Linked DNA regions of Callithrix jacchus. The protein of the gene in region 1 interacts with the protein of each later gene in a biochemical or structural test. Links are inferred from orthologs where the notes say so. Each region holds a gene or a part of one and is shown in the gene's direction. Other genes may lie near its edges.

The links. The genes of interacting proteins can lie anywhere in the genome.
Region 2: the proteins of CASK (region 1) and F11R form a complex in vitro, tested with the Homo sapiens proteins (2 studies listed by BioGRID and IntAct, with this or other methods). The link is inferred for Callithrix jacchus from reciprocal best matches to the Homo sapiens genes CASK and F11R.

Annotation. Positions count from the first base shown.
Region 1 is NC_133524.1:42,368,144-42,371,790, reverse strand, and holds part of CASK (peripheral plasma membrane protein CASK), read left to right. Parts: intron 1-1,927; coding exon 1,928-2,008; intron 2,009-2,113; coding exon 2,114-2,194; intron 2,195-3,647. UniProt on the Homo sapiens protein: Multidomain scaffolding Mg(2+)-independent protein kinase that catalyzes the phosphotransfer from ATP to proteins such as NRXN1, and plays a role in synaptic transmembrane protein anchoring and ion channel trafficking.
Region 2 is NC_133519.1:20,879,994-20,884,200, reverse strand, and holds the start of F11R (junctional adhesion molecule A), read left to right. Parts: upstream 1-1,314; 5' UTR 1,315-1,399; coding exon 1,400-1,463; intron 1,464-4,207. UniProt on the Homo sapiens protein: Seems to play a role in epithelial tight junction formation. Appears early in primordial forms of cell junctions and recruits PARD3.

The DNA of each region.
Region 1 (3,647 bases):
GCACTTCTTTCATAAGCATAGTTTGTCATGATGGAAATATCACTCAGAGGGCAATAAGTCTAAAAAATAATGCCATCAGCACTCCTGCTTTTATTTTGCAGTATAACTAGCTGGCCCTACCACAGAGAGCCTCGTGTTCATTTTAATTTTGTGAGCCTGCCATTCTGAACACAGAAAACGTTTCTTGGTTTTTAGCTATTGCTAGAGGATATGCTTTAAAGACTTTCAATCAACCTTTATAAATCAAGTTCTCGAAATAAAACAAATGTGTAAATACTCATTAATATACACTAACCTCTAATATATTGTATTTCTGTTTTTATATATTGTGATAATGGTGCTTTTTGTTTGTTTGTTTCTGATCTATTCTATTCCCAAGCATCTTATTCATTAAGAGAACCTTCCACTCCCTGAAACAATATGGCAAAATGATTGTAAATATGACCTTAGTTCTTAACATTAGTGATCTGCCCAATCACTTAAAGTGCAAAATAAGATATCACAGGTTTTGGCTGGGTGCAGTGGCTCACGCCTGTAAGCCCAGCACTTCAGGAGGCCAAGGCCAGCGGATCACCTGAGGTCAGGAGTTCAAGGCCAGCCTGGCCAACATAGTGAAACCCCATCTCTACAAAAATATAAAAATTAACTGGGCATAATGGCAGGTGCCTGTAATCCCAACTACACAGGAGGCTGAGGCAGGAGAATGGCTTGCACCCAGGAGGTGGAGGTGGCAGTAAGCCAAGATTGTGCCACTGCACTCCAGCCTGGGTGACAGAGCAAGACTCCATCTCTAAAAAATAAAATAAAAAATAAAGTAGCCCAGATTCCTTTATTACATCATCAAATCAATTTTACTGAATTATTTTAACCCCTCTAAAATACAGGGTTCATTCAATATTCTTTACAAAAAGAAAGTCAGTATGCAACTGACAGCATTTGGGTATGACCATACAAAAAATATTATAGGAAACACAGACATACAATTTTATCCCTTTGTGAGATTTTTCAAATGTGTGTGAGAATTGGACCATGTTAAATTTCAATAGGAATGGGCGTCTGCTCAGGAAAGTTTCGTACATTGCTTGAAATTGTTTTTGTGATAGTGTTAAGAAGCAGGTTTCAGAAAAATATTTGTTAAAGTCTTTCCACTCAGTCTGGCGTGATTAGAGAACTCCACTTTTGCAAGGGTTTCTGAGCTTAGACTCTGCTTCATGATTCTTTTCATCCTGATCTACCACACACAGGCTGCTCGAGTAATGGGCGACAAGTTTTCAGGCCCAGGGAAGCATGTATCTGTCCTTGCATATTCAAGATTTTCCATTGAATGGATATCTGGGTTACAGTCAAGCTTGTGAGATGCTCTTTGATAAGCTTGTGAAATAGTTAAAGAACTTGCTTTACAATCTAGCATGCTACCTTCATCAACTCTGTTAAAAGAAAAGTTGTCCATGTATTTCTCATCCATCTCTAGAAATAATCTAGCTGGCCCGTCTCCTGGTTAACTTCAGTTGCATTCATGCTATATTCATGTTGGTCACTGTCTGTAGACTTTTTCTTTTTAGTATTACTGATTTCTTAGACTTGGAAAAATATGAACAGCATGTGGTTTCGAATGAATTCATATGATTTGTTGGATACTGCATGAAAAGATATGTAGTATCTTTTAGAATTGAACATTTTAATGCATGTATTCAGCAGCTTTGGATGCCCCTGGTTCTAAAGCACATTTTCATAGGCTTAAAAATGAAAATTTCTCCCTAGATGCTATATGACTTAAATTACATGTAAGCCATATATCATAAGTTGGATTCATATTTTTAAGACATGGTTTTAATATAACTGTAGTTTTGCCAGTAAGATTATAATTTTATATACATGAAATAGTCATTCCATAAATTTACCTTTCTTCTAAATCTTTGCATTTTAGTGTTTGATCAATTAGATCTTGTCACATATGAAGAAGTAGTAAAACTGCCAGCATTCAAAAGGAAAACATTAGTCTTATTAGGTAAGTTTGATTGTGTAAGTGGGTTGCTGCTTCTCACTTTCAAAACATTTTGTGAACATTAGTAACAGTTGTCAACGTTAACATTCTTTTTTCTAAATGACATAGGCGCACATGGTGTTGGGAGAAGACACATAAAAAACACTCTCATCACAAAGCACCCAGACCGGTTTGCGTACCCTATTCCACGTAAGCAATGTCTCAATCTCTTTTCCTTATATTTTTCCTATCACTTTTTTTAAACTCTATAATTTATGTATTTTTTCTGATTACAAAAGGTATAACTGTTCATTGTAGGAAATTTGTAAAATCCAGAAAAGAACAAGGAAAAATTGAGTTAACAATAATCCCACTTTCCCTATAAAGTGCTATAAATACTTTGTTGCATACCCTTCCAGGCTTCTCTTAGTACAGATATGTGGAGAGAGAGAGAGAGAGAGAGAGAGTGTGTGTGTGTGTGTTTTAAATAAAATTAAGCTCATCCATTCTGTTGGTAACAATTTTTCTCACAGTATGTCATACACATTACCTAGATGAATTATTCTTCAGAAAAATAAGTTTTCATAGTTGTAAAGTTTCTCTGACATGACAATTTTTCCCTTAATCAATATTTAAATTGTTGATTTCTTATCACTTATTAAACCCAATTAATATGCTAACAGTTGTTTCCATAAAGATTTTCGAATCTGTAAGATTTTTAATTCTCCTTATTTTCTATATCTTATTCTTAACCTCTTGCCGTCTTCATTTTCTCAACTGTAAAATGAAGTAATTCCAGGATTACAAAGAGAATTCGAGATCATGTGTATGAAGCACTTAGCAGATGATGGATGAGTAGAAACTGTCTACCACTATCATTTCATTATTATCATCATTATTCTAAAGTTTAAAATTTTAATCCCTGAAGCTTTCTAGCAGTTCAGGGTTGGAAGAGCTGAAGGAGAGTGCTTTTTTAAGAGCAACAGGAGACAATGTGAAGATCAATTCCATTCTATAGGGCCTTCACATGCCTTCCTGAAGCAATGTCAATACCACTTACAGTTATCTGTATACCTCAGAGAGCCAGGAGGCTTCATGAGACAACCTTCATCCCAGAACCCTGTCTGATATACACAAGAAAATGTTTATCCAATAGTGTCTCATTTGGCACTCATGGGGTTTTCTATTAAAACACTTTGAAATGTTATTTTAATTCTCCTTCTGTCTATCTAGATCATGAGTACAGCAAGCTCAGCTAACATTTAGCTGCTTCTTAACCATGTAACAATTGAACTTCCATGTTATTAAATGACCAGTTAACTAGTTTGGTTTTAAAACTTTGGTGACGTCAATCATGCCTAGTCTCTGAAATATTTGACCCCATATGTGTATATAACATATATCTAACTACTGAAATAACTGAAGACAGTGTAGCATCAACACGTTGTCAGTTTTTGGCCGGGCACAGTGGCTCACGCCTGTAATCCCACCACTTTGGGAGGCTAAGGTGAGTGGATCACATGAGGCTAGGAGTTCGAGACCAGCCTGGCCAACATGGTGAAACCCATCTCTACTAAAAATACAAAAGTTGGCCAGGCGTGGTGGCATGCACCTGTAGTCCCAGCTACTAGGGTAGCTAACGCATGAGAATCATTTGCACCTG
Region 2 (4,207 bases), on another chromosome or scaffold:
GCAAAGGTGAAAAAGGCAAAATGTCAAACAATACCATTCTTTTGGATAAAAATGTGGTCTTTTCACTTGCAATGAGGTAATGCTAAGGAAGTTTTTTCTACAGTCTGCATATGCTTAGTACAGTTAAAATTAAACCATCTTAAAATAGAAACTACAACTAGTAAAGGTGTTGAGCATGAATTTCAATTAAAAATGATATAACAATATGAATATTAACAGAAAGTTTGAGTATCAACATTGTCTATAGAAAAAAGGTGGTTTGGTCAGCACCCAACTATTAGTCATGGTGAGAAAACAAATAGTTCTGAAATGTAGGGACCTGTTCACAGATCAGATATGTGTAAAGGACATATCCACAGACACCCAGAGATGTTTACAGAGCGTGTTCAGCTCAGTTTGTATCATCTGGGTGTGTTTTGTGTACATCTGTTTAACTTTCTGGTTGAGATAATGTAATTCTGCTTTTCCCAAGTTATGTTGTTGTGGCTTTGTTGTTGTTGTTGTTTGTTTGATTGAGACAGGGTCTGGCTCTGTCGCCCAGGCTGGAGGTCAGTGATGTAGGCTCACTGTAACCTCCGTCTCCGGGCTCAAGCCATCCTCCCACTTCAGCCTCCCGAGTAGCTGGGACTGTATTGCCCAGGTTCCCATTTTCCATTTGAGCTCCCTTTCCCTTGTTTTTTTCCCTTTCTTCCTCCCAGCGCAGTTCATTTCTCAAGACTGTGAACGCTGCGAGTGGGGTGGATAGAGGAACAATTGGGAGGTGGTGTCAAGGTAACATTCCACTTCTCTCCCGGTCTTCTCCCTCACCCTCCCATATTCACATGTGGTTTTCACTTGCCAAGGGGCAGGACCAAGGTTTCTGCAGTACCAAACTGCAGGTGCAGTTGCACTAAGCAACTTACATTCAAACAAATACGAAACCCAAACTAGCCCGTCTCTGTAAATCCCACAGCACGACTGCCTTCCCTACCTCCTCGTTAGAGGTACTTCACAGCCCTCCAGCTCCAACTGAGAGAACCCAGCCGGGCAGGAAGTCCCTACTTCAGGAACACCAAGAAGGTGGCCGTCAGCTGCTGAAGGTGAAGAATTCGTCTTCTGACGCGACAGTCTCCTGGGCCAATCAGAGGCAGCCCGTGTGGGGAAAGGCTCCAGTGCGCCCTGCTGGGGAGCAGCGGCGAGGTAGCACCTGGCAGAGGTGACTTGCTCTGAGGAGCGGCGGTTCCTTCCACCAATCGGAACGTGCAGAGTTGGGGAGCCGGCCAATCAGGCGCGGAGGGCGGGGCCGGGCGGGGCTCCACCTGGCGGCTGGCTCTTAGTCCCCGCGCTGCAGTCTGAGGAGCTGTGTCTGTTCCCCGGAGTCAGTCGGCGGCTGTTGTATCGTATCGGGATCCTGGTCGCGATGGGGACGAAGGCGCAAGCCGAGAGGAAACTGTTGCGCCTCTTCGTTTTGGAGATCCTGTTGTGTAAGTTCTCGGAGTTTCGGGAGGAATCGGCTGGTCGGGCCAGAGGTTGGAGGAAGGCGCTCCCCACGCCCCTGGCCCGCGGGAGAGGAGGAGCTCAGAAACCTGCTTACTTCGGTCTCCTAATTCTCTTTTCCACCCCTGCCTGGTCCCTCTTCTTTCACTCTCGCAGCCGGGTGAGTGGCTGGCTCCCCTCCCCCACACTAGTGAGTTGTGACCCCACCCCTCACGCCCACTGGGAGGGAGCTGACCCATCTGCACACACCAGAAGTACACTCCTCGTCCTCACGGCGAGAGCATTCGGGCCAAGGACCCTTCCAAACTCATCTACCCAGCGCGCGCTCCACACGCACCTGGGAAGGGCCAGCCTCCCCGTCCAAGGCGCACCCAGCATCCACGAATCCCCGCTGCGCAGCCGGGAGCCTTGGCTCCTTAAGGGTCCTCGGAGAAAATCAAATGGAGGCAGGCTGGGGTGGAAGGCTCTGTCCTTAGCTTTTGCTGAAGGAGTCTCTGGTTCCGCTGAATTTTTGGATTGCGGCTGTTGCTCTGGGAAAATGTCTGGGTGAACAGTCTAAAGAGGAAATGAAGTAGAAACCTGAAATTTCTCCAAGCGCAGCATAGGTTCCAGAGAAGTTCTTTTCTGGAATAATTACCTTAGGAGTCCTTAATACATTTTGTTGACTGAGTGACTCTTCCCAGGGGGAGAGTGTATCTGTTGGTTGGCTGGATTCTTATCAGAGTCAGCTCTGCCCTCCTCCTGGCTGTGTATGAGAGTTTTTGTTTCCTTTGTAAACTCCCTTTCCTGAGGAACAATGAGGCTCACTTGCTAGGGCATGCCTCTGTCTCTAGATGTGTTTGTGTGGGGCTGAGCGAGTAGTCGGTTGGTTTGTGGGTTAGTCAACCTGCGGCAGCACCTGTATGTTTATCCGTCTGATTCTTGAGTGTCTGTGCGTGTCCTTGTGTGGGTAGTTGTGTCAGTATATGAGTCTCCCCCAACCCCCAAGGTTCTTGTTTTAGAAAGTGTAAAGTAAGTGAATGATTACAATCAGTATTGTAATCATTGTGTTGTAAAGGCAATTAATTTTGCTAAGTTTTTGAAGGGCAGTTCTAGATTCCCTGCCCTTACACGGATTGACTGCTCATTTGTCCCTCATCACAAAAACAGAAACTCTTGGGGGAGATTGGACCAGAGGCTTATGTAGTTCTCTTTCTGTTTTACTAATAAGGGTCCCAGAGGGGAAATGACTTTTCCAGGTTGACAATAGAATTAGGGGTGGAACCTGGGAATGGAACCAAACTCTCTTGATTTGCTTTTTTTTTTTTTTTTTTTTTTTTTTGCCATTCTTGGATCCAGCATCTCCGGTACCCTATGGCACAAGAACTGTTTGGGATACTGTTTCAGAATCTACTATCTTTCTTACCGTTAAACTTTTACTTTCCCAATAGCTTCTTCATTTACACCCCCCCCCCTTTTTTTTGAGACGGAGTTTCGCTCTTGTCACCCAGGCTGGAGTGCAATGCCACTATCTCTGCTCACCACAACCTTCACCTCCTGGGTTCAAGCGAGTCTCCTGTCTCAGCCTCCTGAGTAGCTGGCACGCGCCACCACGCCCAGCTAATTTTGTATTCAGTAGAGACAGGGTTTCTCCATGTTGGTCAGGCTGGTCTCCAACTCCCGACCTCAGGTGATTTGCCAAACTTGGCCTCCCAAAGTGCTGGGATTATAGGTGTGAGCCACCATGCCTGGCCATGTCTCCCTTTTATTCTGCTCCTCCATTTTCCTTTTCTTCTATTTCCCTTTTTTCCCTACCCCTTGCCTATTTTACTTCTGCCTGTATTTTAGAACTGCTAGTGATACCCATAGTCATTTTTGGTTCAGTGGTTCTGTTACTAAAGAACTCGTTAGTACTGTGGTTCTGTACTAGAGATTTTTCCAACCTTTGTACTGTGCCAGTATTTTCCCCCTAAGCCCAGAAGTTTCTTCTGGGTGAGTGACTGTAACAGTTTTTGTCTGTGACAGTTATCTGTCAGTCTTAAAAGCTTCCTGGAGCTGCTTCCTCCCTATCCTTTGCCACTGCTTCCTTTTTTTCCCTCTCCCTCGAATTTCCTATATTATTTATGATAATCCTGAAATAATCACATACTGGCACTGGAAGTTTATGATAGCACCATTTTGAGCTTGGAGGTGCCTTCAGGGAACCAAGCCACAGTAGTGCAGAGGGAACGAACCTGAGATGATGTCATATTAGCCTGTTAGGACAGTGGGTCCTGGGAAGCGGCATATCCAGGGGATGGAGGAACTGATCTTGTAACTTTTAAATCAGGCTAGATGTGGGTTGGGGTTGGTGGAGGGGAGTGATCTGGTTAGTGCAAATGAGGATGGAAATGAGAGCCACCACACCTGTGTTCTAGCTTGGTTTCTTAGGCAGTCGCTTAGTCTTTTAATCTATAAAATAGGAGTAATAATACTTGTTCCGCCGGGCACACTTTGGGAGGCCGAGGCGGGTGGATCACAAGGTCAAGAGATCAAGACTATCCTCATCAACATGGTGAAACCCCGTCTCTACTAAAAATACAAAAATTAGCTGGGCATGGTGGTGCACGTCTGTAGTCCCAGCTACTCAGGAAGCTGAGGCAGGAGAATTGCTTGAATCCAGGAGGCGGAGGTTGCGGTGAGCCGAGATCGCGCCAACAAATACTTGTCATGAGGATCAACCAGCATAATAATGACATGATATATACATGAA